2 linked regions of the Lepisosteus oculatus genome follow. The protein of the gene in region 2 interacts with the protein of the main gene of each other region in a pairwise test. Links are inferred from orthologs where the notes say so. Each region holds a gene or a part of one and is shown on either strand. Other genes may lie near its edges.

What was found.
Region 1: the proteins of cytoplasmic protein NCK2 (region 2) and bcl11aa interact in binary tests that used the Homo sapiens proteins (3 or more experiments, as listed by UniProt). The two-hybrid records come from large-scale screens. The link is inferred for Lepisosteus oculatus from reciprocal best matches to the Homo sapiens genes NCK2 and BCL11A.

Annotation. Positions count from the first base shown.
Region 1 is NC_090712.1:9,969,394-9,976,878, reverse strand, and holds the start of bcl11aa (BCL11 transcription factor A a), read right to left. Parts: upstream 3,054-7,485; 5' UTR 2,757-3,053; coding exon 2,702-2,756; intron 2,227-2,701; exon of another isoform or gene 2,097-2,226; intron 2,066-2,096; exon of another isoform or gene 1,832-2,065; intron 1,376-1,831; exon of another isoform or gene 940-1,375; intron 1-939. UniProt on the Homo sapiens protein: Transcription factor. Associated with the BAF SWI/SNF chromatin remodeling complex. Binds to the 5'-TGACCA-3' sequence motif in regulatory regions of target genes, including a distal promoter of the HBG1 hemoglobin subunit gamma-1 gene.
Region 2 is NC_090710.1:24,271,602-24,279,374, reverse strand, and holds the start of cytoplasmic protein NCK2, read right to left. Parts: upstream 3,097-7,773; 5' UTR 2,922-3,096; intron 1-2,921. UniProt on the Homo sapiens protein: Adapter protein which associates with tyrosine-phosphorylated growth factor receptors or their cellular substrates. Maintains low levels of EIF2S1 phosphorylation by promoting its dephosphorylation by PP1.

The sequences.
Region 1 (7,485 bases), on a different chromosome or scaffold from region 2:
TAACAACACGCTCATTGCCACCGCCCTCAAATACAGCTACTCTGAAAAATTCTGCCACTTTCTTATGTTTACATTACTCGGGGGAAACATTTTTTGAAAGTTTTTTGCCTGCCCACCATGTATATAAAAACAATCTCTCTAACAGGACAAAACTGTTTTATCATTGTATTTTCTTTTAAAAACAACTGTCTCCAAGAATACACTCAGTAGCCTTTGTCAAACAATTTAATGTATACTTAAAATATTTATTAAAAGTGGCAGAAATAATGAAATCCAGGAAAACTGGATAGCAACATTGTGTTTTTGCTCCATATTTTACTAATATTGAGCATACATTTTTACAGTTCACTGATTTCACGTGTTTTTGAAAACGTCTTGCGATTACTTCTAACGTAACAAGCGAAAATGTTGCTTTGATTCAGAATACTTTCAACAAAGTAGCTTGCTGTGAGGAACTGGATCTTCGTTGCTAGAAATATAGGAAAGACACAAAACCTGCACACAATTAAAAGGGCTTCATTTAAAATTACCTTTTGAACATTTCATTGTTAGTTTGCATGCCTGAAATTTTTTTTAATTAAAAACTATACAACTGTATAATAAATTCCACCTAAATTCCACATAAATTTCTTAGCCTTAGCTCCCCTGAATATCTTAAGAGAGGAGGTAATACGACTTTCCTGATGATTTAATACTGAAACACGTGGATCTAAAGGAAACACGCCACACAAGGACATTTTATAGTTTTTCCATTTTGATTTCCTGTCTTCAAACGAAAATTAGAATACTCTCAATATAATAGTATATTATTCTATATAATAAGTGTAAAAAATACGTAAGTTTCATACACGTATTAAACTCAAAGTACAGAAAAATGCTTACGAGCTAAGGTATGTAATGAACGAGGTGGACAACAATAATAAATCATAAAATACTAACCTTAAATGGAGAGTCTTAATGCCTGAAACCTCTGTGCATACTAAAGCTTATTATTTATAAGTTGATGCGTTACAGAAAATGTTGAAAATACGCGTGGCTTTCAATTACTAAATTAAAGCTCCTTTTCATTTTCATGATTGTGAAAGGGTACCAAAAGTAAAAAAAAAAAAGATATCCAGTAAATTAGAAATCATTTGAATGATCGACGGTGTCTCGTCATTTATACGAGTTTAATTTACTTAAAATAAGATATAAAGTGGGTGGGAAAAAAGAAGCTATAACCTGCGTATTATGTATTTCCTTTTTATTCCAAACATATCGTCAGGATATGTAGATTGAGGTGGCGGTGAAATTGATCAGGTTCAAGTTCATTTCCAGTTTATGATCATCTTCTGCCTCCTAGCGACAGAACCGTCACACAAAGCAATACTTCAATGCAACTTAGACAAACGGCTCGCTTTAACACTAATGTGTCTTGAACAAGGAACATTACGGAATCGTTCTCGCAAGATTCGAGTCGTTAAAACGCAAGGTTTACAGATCTTTGTGAATAAAGATGTAAAACATAACATTTCATTCATTCAATCGCGAATTCCGATCTCTCGGGGTCCCAAATACGCTTGCTTACTGCGTTTGCCAAATGTTGGACGGTTTTAAACAGTGTGTCGCCTTCGTTTCCAATAAAGCTTTAAAAAACGTATCCACACGCAAAAACAAACGTGGCGAACTTAAATATCCCTGAACACATGCAGAGCCCAGACGATAATGTGCTATATACGCCGCGCAAGTCTGCAAAATGATTACTTTTTGCATCTATGAAAAGCAGAAACGAAAACAGAAAGAGGCAACTCAACTGTTCTGACTCGCATGCATACATTTTATTTTACCTTACCTTGCGAGTTTCCCTTTTACGTTAAAGTAAAATAAACATAACAGTCGATCCAAAAATCTATGTGTAAAAAGGGGGAAAATATTTAATCGAAAAGAAGAGTAAGCCGGGGTTCCTGTTCCTCTTTATAAAGCCGTCCCCTAAAACAACTAGAGTCGAATCTAAGAGCAATCTTTCTCAAGTAGTGCACATAAAGCTTTTAGATTACAAATCCATCCGTTTGACAGCGGTCTACGCAGCTTTCGAAAGAAAATTAAGCGAATATTACTCTTTTTTTTTCCCCTTTCGATGTTGTTGGCAGGAGGTTCCGCACACGCGGTGCTTGTAAACAGTCAGACACGAGATTTTTCCCAATCAAAATCCACTTCCACTTTTTTGAAAATCTTCCAAAAAATAGTACGAGAGGAGGGAAATCCTCTCCAGGCAGTAAACAGACAGTGTTACAGGGGCTTCCACTAGAAATAATAAATATGATAAAGCATGCATACCTATTACAATCGCCTTCCTACCCTATGCCCTTTAGCGGCTTAAGCACAAGGGGTACGAAAGGCATATCTTAAGCACGCTAGAAAATCTTATTGTAAAAGTGCTCCGGATTCAAAAAGCTGAATGCAAAAAAATAAAAACTTTTTTTCTGCTTAAGTTTTAAGAAAACCGCATTTCGTATTGGCATTTCTGGGTGCAAAAGAAATCTCGCCACGCTTTTTTTTGTGAAGTCCACTTGACCGCGATCTTCGGTGTCCAATGTCCAGCACCACCTTCACCAAGATTTTTGCTCCTGGTCACTGTTTCTCTTCTTTACTGCAGGAAATTAAAGACTGTTGCTGGAAAAAGTGAAGAAAAGGGTGTAAATTACAATTTTGTTCTACTTACGCGAAAATTCCCGTTTGCTTAAGTGCTGGGGTTTGCCTTGCTTACGGCGAGACATGGTGCTTGGTGGTGGCTTTGAGCTCGGTTCACATCGGGAGAGCCGGGTTAGAAAGGAGACTCCAGAGAAAATATCTTCATCAATGCCTTTGACATCCAAAATAAATTAGAAATAATACAAAGATGGCGCAGGGAAGATGGATTGTGGGATAGCCGTCATGGCTTTTTTGAAAAGAGAGAGAGAGATGAAAAAAAATGGCAAAAGCCCCCCTGAGCTGCAAGTTCAAGTGCGGACGTGACGTCCCTGCGAACTTGAACGTCAGGAGATGGATGGACACAGACATACAAAACATGGGCAGGGCAAAGACAGAGAGTAGGAGGAGGGAATGGAAATAACAAAACCAATGGACACTCATTAGGGGCTGGACATGAAAAATAGACCCGGAGAAGCCAATGGACAGAGAGATCAAGGGGGCCGGACAAGAGGCACAAGAGGGAAAAAAAAAGCTGTCTAGTGAAAGCAGTGGGCATTGATCAGGGGGCTGGACGTGAAAAAAATAGACCAAGAAAAGCCAATGGACAAGGGATCAGGGGGCTGGACATATGGCAGTGAAGGGAAAAAAAAAACCCCGTCTAATGTAAGCTGTCGCAGTGGACATTGATCAGGGATCTGGGCACGGAAACACAGTGAAAAATAAGTTCGTGGTCACACAGCTAGACCACCTCGTGTGTGTCAGTAGCCAAGGAGCACAGCGACCACTGAGCTAAGAAACGAAACAGAACTTAAGATATTATTAGCAGGTTGTCTGTATGGGACAGACAGGTTTCGCAGCAGGGTAAAAGTAAAGGAGGACTAGGAGTAGAAAAAAAAACAGCAAAGATCAAAAGAGGGTTAAGAAATTAAGCGGCTTCTTTTTTTTTTTTAAACCGAAGTGTAAAGTCTGACACACGGCGACGGTGGGGGAGTGAACGAACTAAGTTTGAAATAAACATGTGATGCAATAGGGGTTAAAGCAGGTAAAGGTGGGCTGTGAACGAAAATTGGGAGAGGATGCAAATGTCCAAAAAGATCTGCGGTGGGTCGATGAGTATGTTCCAACAAAGGGCTGGGAGACGAAAAGGGGGAGAGAAAAACACAGACACTCGCGGAAATCGATTTAGGAAAAGAACAAAACGCCTCCCAAAGAGCGGAGACTAAATAATGACAGCTTATACTAGAAGAGACACCAGGCAGAAAACAAAAGCGATGACATGAACTGTGTATGAAGTGGGTAGGAGAAATAGCCATGCAAACTAATAAAAAGTACTAAGACTAGCGGCTGCACAAGTGAATCACAAGAGCGAAGTGGAATGAAAACGTGAGCTAGACGCGGATTCTGAGACAGGATACAAAGGGGATGGGGTAAAAATGAATGGGAAAATAGAGAAAGAAAGGATCGGAGAGGAAGTTGAGCATCGGAGAAAAATCTCAGCAGTGGGGGAAAATATTTGCCGGTCAAGGTTAGTTTATTTACCGGTATTTGTCAAACAAGTCCTGGGTTTCTTTTTGAAGATTTATGAATATGGAAAGCTAAAGTTTGGAGATTATGAAGATAGGAGAGTATATAAATATGTGTTATGGGGATACGACGGGGAAAGTTGTAAATGCCGTCTACGAATATTAAAAATGAGAACGTAGTCTACTGAGTAAAGAGTAAGATTGCGCGTAGACCTGGTTCGTACTGGCGGTTTCAAAGGGAGTATTAACGTCTCGGTGTCAGGAAAAGCTACCTGAATATGAGCCTTCTTGCAAAATACGGGCTACAAAGCAGGCTGATATTAATAAACATGTACGAAACATACGATACGAAATCTCAGAAATGAGAAAGCCTAATCTAGAGGGTTTTAAGAACAGCTTTTAGAACAGTTTCAGAGAAAACGACCTACTTAAATATCGGTGCAGGCTATTCTTTCTAAAAGGGGTTCTGTGTCCCCTTAAATCAAGCATGTAATGTCTTGCAGCTGCCAAGAACTCATTTCGATGTGGTATGAAATTATTCTTTATTTTTAAATTAAAGTAAATGGGACACTGACTAGTTTTTATGTATAAACAGTATATGCTAGTTGAGTCCTGCTGTCTAGGCTAAAGTGTTAATATCTTACGCTTATCGGAGGTCCCTAAACATACTGTAAATATGAGTGCTTAACTTAATTTAATACGTACACTTGAGTTAAGGTTACTTTTCTGCAAAAATGCAATATTCTTTCTTTGAAATGTTGCAGAGGGTTTGTAAGGCAGTTCTATCTGACCAAACGATCGTGCTTATACTAACCTGTTTTATATATACAGTATATACCCACTATTTGTTAATTAAATGTGATTCAATGTTTTAGTGTATTTAACGTTTAACTTGGTAATGTGCGTTAAACATGGGCTGAAGCATAATTAATAATAATCCTTTATTATAATATATAAGTAGATATGACATACTTGACCACACAGCTCTTGCGTTTAGTCATACTTTATATAAGAAACACTTAAGAAACTTAGTAGCAATTTAAAGTGGGTGTTGATCATTTTTTGCAGAAAACGGTCGTGTTATGTTGATTTATTGCATGGGCGCAATGTTAACGAGAGTGCAACGTCTTTCTAATATATAATACATCTCAGTAAAAGTCTATAGCTAATCGATATATTTCTGATTTTATGTATTCTTTATGTGAGTGTGTGATGAATATTGAGTAAAATATATGCTGCAACACTTAAAGGGCATTACTGGTATGAATAATGAATATCTAATAAACTTATCTCTCATAGAGTCCTTAAATAAAATTGTACGTAAACGTTTGGTATGCTGGTAATGCATCTCCCTTTAACCCTTTGTGTTCATAAAAAGAGGGCCCACATACATTTCATGTTAGGTATTTCATATAGACAAACTGGATTTGATGGGGTGTTTAGTAACATAATTTAATTTAAAATGCAGTGCCTTTCTTCGTGAAACAACTTTCATCTAGAGGTTACAGAAAAGCTAAATGCCATGCAAACACCAGATATATTCTCTTTAAGCTCTTTGAACACCTAATGGGTTTTTTTGGGGTTCTTAACTGCAAAACAGTCTGAAATGACAACTGAGTTATATTCCACAGAGACCAGACAACTCTTCAGATTTATACAAATTAATTGTTCTGGTATAGGATTTGTCTTATACCCGTCACGGATTCAATTACTGAAGTATTGCCTTTGTGTTTTGTCATGACATTTGTGCACAAGTCTGTTGTGACAGTGAAGAAGATACCCGGATGCAGTCTGGTAATATTTTTCTAAAAGTGGCATTTCTTTTTCACTTTAACTTCAGTAGCATATACCGTATGAGTCCCACCCCCCATCCTCTAAATTTAAGCTTTTGACTACTCTTGATTTTTGTCACGCTTTTAACTTCTAGTATTTAGGAATTGGACAGATTGCTAGTTAGGGACTCCAAGGGTCAATCTGGTTTCCATAAAATTGTCAGACATTTGTTGCCTGTAGTTCTGTAATTTCCCAAACGGAAACAATTGCCCGGGTGATTTGATGTGAAAAGGTGCTTTTGCTTTTTAATAGGCAGTGAGATTATATTGCGACAGATTACAGCTTTATTGCTGATTTTGTAAAGAACAATGCAACTTTCAGAAAGTGTTTGTGTTGACAAGCTCAAAGGGGTGTCCCTACTTTAAAGGAATGAAATGGGAAATGGTTAAAGATCAAGAATTGTATTAATTTATGAAGTTGACAATAAACATAATCAATGCATTTCAGGTGTCATTGCACATTCCTCCAAACAATGAACTAGACTCTGTCAAGTTGATTATGTAAATTGTGTGTGTGTGTTGTTTTTATGTGCAATGTACTGTTTTTATTGAAGGTGTACAGACACCTAAGAGTTACATATAGGGGTAAAAATAGAACAAGCATTAGATTATTTTCCATATATATATGCATCAAGAAATTAAGGTTGACATCTACCAAGCAACTTACTGAAGTGGTCTGTTTAATCTTACCTGCATCTGTGAGGTGACACCAGCTTGCCCAGCCTGATGCATTTTAACACTACATGTAATAGTTTGATATTATACATACGATAATGTACCTGAGGCAATCAATCCATTTGTTGTTTCAAAAACGTGTTGTCCTGATTCATTATGCATTACACAATCCTGTGTTTACTTGATTTATTATATAATCATATAACGATTCTCTAAGATTAATAAAACACTGTGCCATCGTTAATTTAAGGCGTTTACCTTTTAACGCCGTTTTAAACGACAGAGGAGCTTAAGGTATTGGAATTGACTCATAATTTGTCTACTTTAAGGGAAGGATTAGCCTACAAGAATTAATACCCAATGGCAACCATATGATGTTAAAGCTGAAAAATTAAAAAAAACTATTATGAACGATAATACGGTCCTGTGGCTCAAATTCCGTTTCTTAATCAGGGCCATAAAAGAGCACTTAACTTTGTTGCTATCCAATCAACAACTAATAGGTTCTATTTCAATCACAAATTGCAAGGATTTTTCCAATCACGTGCGTGGCTTCCTCCTAATGTACCCTAATAACAATTTTAGCATTCAGATGAAGCGATTTCGTTCTGCGACCGGCTTTTGTATTAGATTTGATTGTGAGAAGCCCCGATGGGTGCCTCTATCTGCGAAACTGCAGCCGATTCAATAGTAGTCTGTGCTAACCTTGACCTTTGCCAAGACCCCGCTCCATCTGGTGGAAGCCTGGTTTTTTTTCCGTTCTCCCCCCCCCTCCTACTCCTTCT
Region 2 (7,773 bases):
GAACTGTCATCTCCTCATTATCTTTGCTTAAAGATAAGATTCTTGAAGTCGCTGTTCAATTCTTTTGCATCTAAAAGGGAAGGTTAAGGTGGCAGATACACTTAAGTTATCACATTCAGAACATAAGTTGCTCAAGGAATGTGGAGTCTAGAAATCTCTGAAACACAGAATACATAACTAATAATTCTGCCAGTTTGCAACTAAAGATTTATACATTCATTCCCAAGTGGAATACAGGGTGCACAGCAAAGATATTAGGAATGTTTACAGTCATCGACTGGTTAAAGCACAAGCATACTGCTAAACTCTGAAAACACTAGTTCATTGCATAGCCCTCTACACTGTACAAGAACCAGACTCAAGTACTTTAACAGCACTCTGTGGCTATTTCCAGTCATAAAAAAATCAAATAAAGCTGATCACTGCAGTATGAAATCACCATGGCTTACAGTTTAAGAGATGTTTGTCCAAAGCTATTGTTTTATTTATTTTCAAAAATAAAGTAAATGAATTAAAAAACAGACCTTTATAAATTACACAGGGTGGAGTGGGATGCACAAGACGTGGCATGCTCTGAAGGGAAAAGGCATCAAAAGACAGCAGTGTCCAATTATGCACTGGTAACAAAGCAACATTGAAAGGCCATTCAAATGTTAGCCACAACCAAAACATACAAGAATGTAAAGCTGTGTGGATCACTCCTAAGAAGGGGTCAAACACTACTCTTCCTAACCTGTTTGCTGTAAATATACTGAAGGCCAAAGTCTTGAGTCGAAAGAATCCACTACTCTTCAGGACAGAAAACAACTGAGGGAATAATTATGAGGAAAGGCTGCCTATTCACAAGGAAGATAGGGGGGGGAAAAACAAAGACCTTCATCTACAGCAGAAAGAAAAACTGTCAAGACTATTGTACCCATTGTCCATGTGCCTACAATTCCAAGCCCAAGCACTGACAATGGCACTTGACTATGTCAATACGTATAAGGAATCACAGAGGTGTTGCTATCCTGTGTGCATTCTGTAAGCCCATTTATTGTTACACTTAAAGAATTGCCTACCATCACCATGTATGACAGCTTTATGAATGAAAAACGAGACATGACAACATGAAATGTACCTTATGACTTCTTCATGCTATAGCTAGCACATCTTGAGAGATCTTACCTGTTCCACTTACTTGGCCCTTGTGTCTGATATCACACTTAAGTTTGGCTTTACTAGCATAGCTGTTTTTGTCATTGAATTTTTTTGTTGATAGAAAGCGATCATCACGGAAGAGAGTATAACAGAATTGTAATAGTTTCCCTGCATGTCTGCAAATGTCTAACGAGGCAAAACAAATGTTGAAATGGGCAAAGAAAAGTTTGTAGGTGATACCAATTAATCAAGATGTGCCTGAACAGGCTAAAGAATACAAAAACAAATTAGTTCAGAAAGTCTGGTATCTATTATTACAAAACTAAAAGAGATAAGCGAGTGCTTTCATTTCTGACACTATTAATACATCAATGTCAGCATTTCATATTTTCCCAAATGACTTATTTGAATGTTGAAAAGAAAGCCCTACTATTTTTACCTATAGTGGTTTATCAAGTTTCATTCTACAGTATGTGCCTATGAAGACTCATCCAAGTAATGTTATAAGCAGAGAATACAAGGTGACTTCATTTCTATGGGGCTGTTACCTTAAAGAACCTAAAGAGCAATTTTCCATCTACATGTAAAACTGAAGATGAGAATTAGACATAGCAACTCAGTTTTTGAAAAGAGCCTACAATTTTAATTTTAATGCTCAAAAAAGAAAAAGCCATTATTATTCAGCCTTTCTCTGACAGAATACCATATCAATTTAAACTAAAACAGCAATAAAATCTTCACAAGATTAAAATTAGTAGCTCATATAGATATTGGTGTGACATACAATACTTTAGGCTATATAAGAGTGTTGTTAGTATTATAAATATGGAATAGAGTGTCATACCTGTACTTAAATCAGGGTGTGTTTTAATATTTATCTAATTCAGCAAGGATAGGGCTGATATCAATAACAAAAAAGACACTAAAGTTTTTTTCTCTTCCAAAATGTACCCATACCAATATGTTTATTAAACATTTCTGGCAGAGCTATGCTTTGACAATAAATTCATCACTATTAACCGTTTTCGATTCTACATTAATGACTATGCACACCCCATTACCATTACTGTGGATAACGTGTGGTTGTTGTGGCTGTCAGCAGTCACTGAGCAAAAAAATGATATCGATAAAAAATTGCGATTTGGGCATGATGCTTATTATGGGACAAAGAACTTAATGTCGTTTCTATTTTTCCTGTGGAAGTTGGAAGACTATACAGCAAACAGCAACGTCAATGCACACTGAAGCGATACCGTGAAGACAATGGACACATGCAAGATATCTAAACCACTACAAGACGCAATAACACGTTTAAAGTTACAGCCCCCTTATCGTCAAACCGGCAGCTATCTGCCATGAATTATTCGTGCGTTTTTCCACAGAGAGAACGCTGGCAGGCAAGAGCCCCTCGAAGGCGGAATCTTTACAAGCGGCTCCGAAACGCCATCATCACCATCCTATTGAATCCCGTCTATTGTACTGCTGTAGAGTCTCAGCCACAAATAACAAAGCCACTGAGCTTAACGCGGAGCTCAACACTAAAACCATCTAAAAGCACAAGCACCTAATGATGGGAATTTTACTTCAGAGGTCTTCCAGACCCCTTTGCCCAGGGAATGTATTTGCTTTTATTAAAACACGGCTTGATATCCATCTGCTCAGGACGATTTGTGAATGAACCGAAAACACACCAACGCCAATTACAGTACCCCCCCACCACCACCTCCAGAAGCTGCCACACCAACTTTATACTCAGTTCCTTAATTTTCTTTCCCTCTTACCTTGGTGTAGCTCCGGTCGGATCGGGCGGGGAGGCAGGTATGCAAATAACCCCTGTGCAGTTCAGAACGTTTATATAAAATACTTGACAGAGGGGAAGAAAAATCCAGTTTTATTCCAGGTCCTTTCTTTACAGGCCCTGCAACTCCACTCTCGTTCTCTCTCTCTCCCCCTACCTTTAGCTCAGCCCACTGTCTTGCTCAATGACGTCAGCCCTGCCATAGGACTGAGAAAGCTGGAGCACCGAAGCAACTGCGCTGGGAAGCCGCTCTGGACAGAGACGGGCTGTCTCTCTTACATCGCCAGTGCTCGCTGCTGCCAATTGCTGTGTTAACTACATTATATGTCCGGACGAGTACGCAGACTTTAGTGTCAGCTTAGCTAGCACTTCTTAAGAATAGATGGGCACACGGCAGGAACGATCATATTAATTAAATGAAAAACTAAAAAGAGGACACCAACTGAGACATACAATTCGTTGAGTAAACTAGCTGGCTTTATGCTGAAACTGAAATGCTCTTTTAAGGCTTTTAAGACGAAACATTGAAAATAATGATACAGCAAATATTGCGCATTCAAATACCGTCACTCACGGTATTTACCATACGTTATGTATTTTTTCAAGAGAAAGTGTTTTGAAATGTTTGAAATACAGTGATGAAAATTGTCAAGCGGAAATAAAACCTCGGATACCTCTTATGCATAGATCAAATGGCTATAGTTGTTCCCCGTTTCCTTACAGGAACAAGACATTTCCTGATTATTAACTTGATTGCCTCTATTTTTAAAGGGTATGGGGGGCAGAAGCAGTGAGGCGCATACATGCTAATATAAAGTAATTTCCTACTAGACCCCTGGAAGTATGCAAAAATGTATATTAAATAATACTATATTGCAATTATATTAAATTATGTATATTTTAAGCAGAATTTGCATATATAATATTTTTAAATTATCTATTTGAAAATTATATAATAGAATAAAATACCTCTTTTCTAGATCCTGTTCTCTTTTAATCATTGTATAAAGTGCTTTCTGCACAGACTACAGCTTTCCTTTCTTGCTTTTGACTTTCTTTTGGGATGAATCTGCTCCGTATTTGTAACTTTGTGTTGCCATCCACTCTACTGAATCTATGTCATTTGTATCTACAGCAAAAACATTTCTTTAAATTTCAGGTTGACTCTTTCCTTTATGTTCAGTTTTTCCGAAATTGCCAATCTTTCTTTTGGGCTTAGCAGAATTTCTAAATATACTTCAAAACGTACATATTATGATCACATTTCTGTGATGGTTTTCCTCACTCTGTTTCGATTGTTTGAAAACACTAGATCAATACAGGCATCACCTTGGGCTTCTGATAATCTGAGTATGGAATCATTCATTACCCATTTCTACCATTGCAGTTTCAGCTACTGACCTACCTGGTGGTTTGTCCAAATCTACACGGGGAAAGTTAATATCTCCCACAATAACAACTTCTTTTAAACATATTTTCCTGAATTAACTGCAAAAGACTGAATAGTTGTACATTCATATAAGTTGTATATGAATTTGGCAGTCAGGAGCATGTTCCTACCCACTCATGTTATATTCTTCATTACCACTCAGTCCGCTGTGCTGATTTTGAGCATCTTGAATACTTGTAGAAGTTCCCTCATATTCTTCTCTGTTTAAAACTAAAAATGTATTTCAATCTGTCAGTGTAGGATATTGCTTATTCCTTTATGTCCTGGAATGCACCTCTATTGCTCTTCTCTTGAATGATTCCAGATTGTGACCACAATTGTACATAACATTGTACAAAAAAGACCACAGTAGTGCATTGTACAATTTTAATGTGACATCCCTTGACTTGAATTCTGTACTTTTGACTATACAATCTAAAATTTTGTTTGCCTTTTTATTATTTACCAGCACTTTCTGGAAGATGTAAACAATGTGTTGACAAAAACACCAAAGTCCTCTTCATAAGTAGCTTCGTCTAGCTCATTGGGTCCTATTGTTTTTACTTTTATACTAACTGCATGCAAAACCCTGCACTTCTGTACAGTAGATTAAATGCAATCTGCCAAGTGTTTTCCCAGTTTTGAATTAAAGCAAATTCTTTGGGAATTCCATTTGCTGATTCTACAGTGTTATTCTACTATGTACATTCTACAGTGTTAGCTAATCATTCTAATCTGATATTATCTGAAAGATAGTTTACGAATTATACCATAATCATTAATATAAATTAAGAATAGCTGTGGTCCTGGTAAATACTGTGGTACTCCACTAATTACATCGCCCCAATTTAATCATTTAGTTTTAATCATGTTTATTTGCTAATTATTAATCAGTTCTCAATCCAGTTGCATACATTTCCTTGCAGGACTTCAGCCTGTAATTTCAAATTAAATCTGTGATAAGTAACTTTATAGACAGCTTTCTGAAAATGTAAATACACCATATCTTATGCCCTGTATCTGTCAAAATTTCACTTAAAGGTCAATTGGTCAGTCATAGATAAACATATAGATATATAGGGAACATGTGCGTTCCTCTTAATTTTAATGGATCATTCTCTATGTCAGGCTGACAAAAAACAGGATTGCAGTTACAGCCGCCCAGCCACTATAGGCTGCTGGGCAGCCTCTAATCTTTGTAAATAGCTACACAGTGGGTGTTAATTAGGTAATTGATTAGATTTGTGTTAAAGATATTATGGTAAAGGTATTATAAAGGTAAATGTTATTATTTTAGTGGTAAAATAATATAAGAACATTTGTTTATGGCATGTTTATACTGTATATGAGTTTTATTAACCCTTTATTATATTGGATATTGCACTTGCCTGGAATGATTCAGCAGCAGTACTGTATATTTTTGTGACATTGTGACCACAATTGTATATCATATTCTAAATTAGGCCATAGTAATGTATTGTACAATTTTAACATGTCATCCCTTGATGTATAATATACACTGATTACGCATTGTATTTTTCACACCCTTTGTGGTTCTTTATTAAGTATGAAACTTATGGTCAGCTGAGCTGCTATGTCTTAATGTCACAACTTTACACAATTGAGGATACTCATTTATATATAAAAAATAGGTTATTAATAGTTATGTTTTCTATATGCTGAACTGCATTAACAATATTTGGGGTTTCACTGATCTTAAGATGAAAATGTTTTTTTTTCTATTCAAATTGATATTTTTAATTTTGTCTGCTTTTTAGTTTGAAACCATATTATATTGTATACAAATAAGGTTTCTCTGTAACTTTCTAATAAAAACATTCATGGTCAAATAAAAAAGCTCAAAAGCAATTGTGGAAGCTAGCAAGCTAATCACCAGCACTACTACCAGGTCAGCCATTGCAAAAGTTCCATCACTCACTGCAAGTGAAAATCATAAACTATAAAATCAGAAGGTAATTGTCTTTAGTATCCTTAAAAATGTTTAGTTACTTATGTAATTAATATATTAAATTGCCCCAGTAACAACAGATAGAGACCATTAAAATTGTCTTATTTCAAAACCTTAATTAATTGGTTCTCATTAAAATCAGTGAGCTCCCTCATATACTGCAGATTTAAAATGTTGTAGTAGAGTTGCAGTAGCATAGTGGAGCAGTGGTTAGCATTGCTGCCTCACATTGCTGGAGCCCTGGATTCAATTCCAGACCTGGTGTGCAGAGTTTGCATGTTCTCCCCATGTTTGCATGGGTTTCCTCTGGACCTCCAGTTTCCTTCCACAGTCCAAAAACATACCAATAGGTTAATTGACTTCTCTGAATATAAAACGTGGTGTGAGTGTGTATGTGTGTCCATGTTTGTGTTTGTGTCTCACAAAGAATGTCCATGGTACACCCCGCCTTGTACAGTTGGTTGTCAGGACAGGTTTCTGCTCCCCTGTGACCCTGAATGGGATTAAGTCATTAGAAAATGGATGGATTGTAGAATCCTGCAGTGTTAGCAGGATTGTCTATGCTAACACTGGGAGCACAGTAAAACTACAAAAACTGCAAAGAAATACTTGAAGAGCCTGCTGCATGCACGCATTACCTTTATAAACAAAGTTTGCATTCTCATTGCTGAAGAATAGGACCTGAATTGTATGATTCACTTGACAGATTGTTAAAAAAAACTCAAGGTCAAAATCCTGTACCTGAATCATCATTCTTTATTATTAGTATAGATTAGCATAATCCAGAATTGCATGGACTGTAATCATTGTTTATCAGCCTCATTAAATAAATAGGATTTTATTTTTTAAATTATTACACTTTGCAGGTACGGGATACAGTTATAGGATGCTTACAAGTTTTATGTTATGAACAGAACGCTCAAGTGGAAGTACTTTGTGTCTCATCAGACCACTTGCTCCATTAAAAGCTGTCAGATTCAGTGTTATTTGCCACTGTTGCTGTCATGGTTTGCTCATTTTAAACAAAACGTTCCTTCCCAAACAAATAACATGAAGGTTTTTTCTTCTTCAGGCTCCCCCTGCTGTTCATACTTACAAGAACATATTACTGAGAAGCAAAACACACTCCCAGTTTCGTTATTGGTAAAAACTACCATCAGTGAGTCTTCCTTACATCACTTTTTAACCACTTTATCCAGTACAGGGAGCCTGTCAGAACATATCCAGGTAAGCAACAGGTACACGGCGGGAATCTGTGGCCTGAATCTCAATCACTTTCCTTTATTTTTCTTTTATACATTCTTTTAAAAAATATTCTTGTCTGAAATGTCTTTGACAGGTGCTGAATTAAATTTTACTTAAGGCCATAGAAATCAACTTTAATACAAAGGTAAGATCCCACCCCAATCAGATTGGCTCCATATGCAGGTATAGATG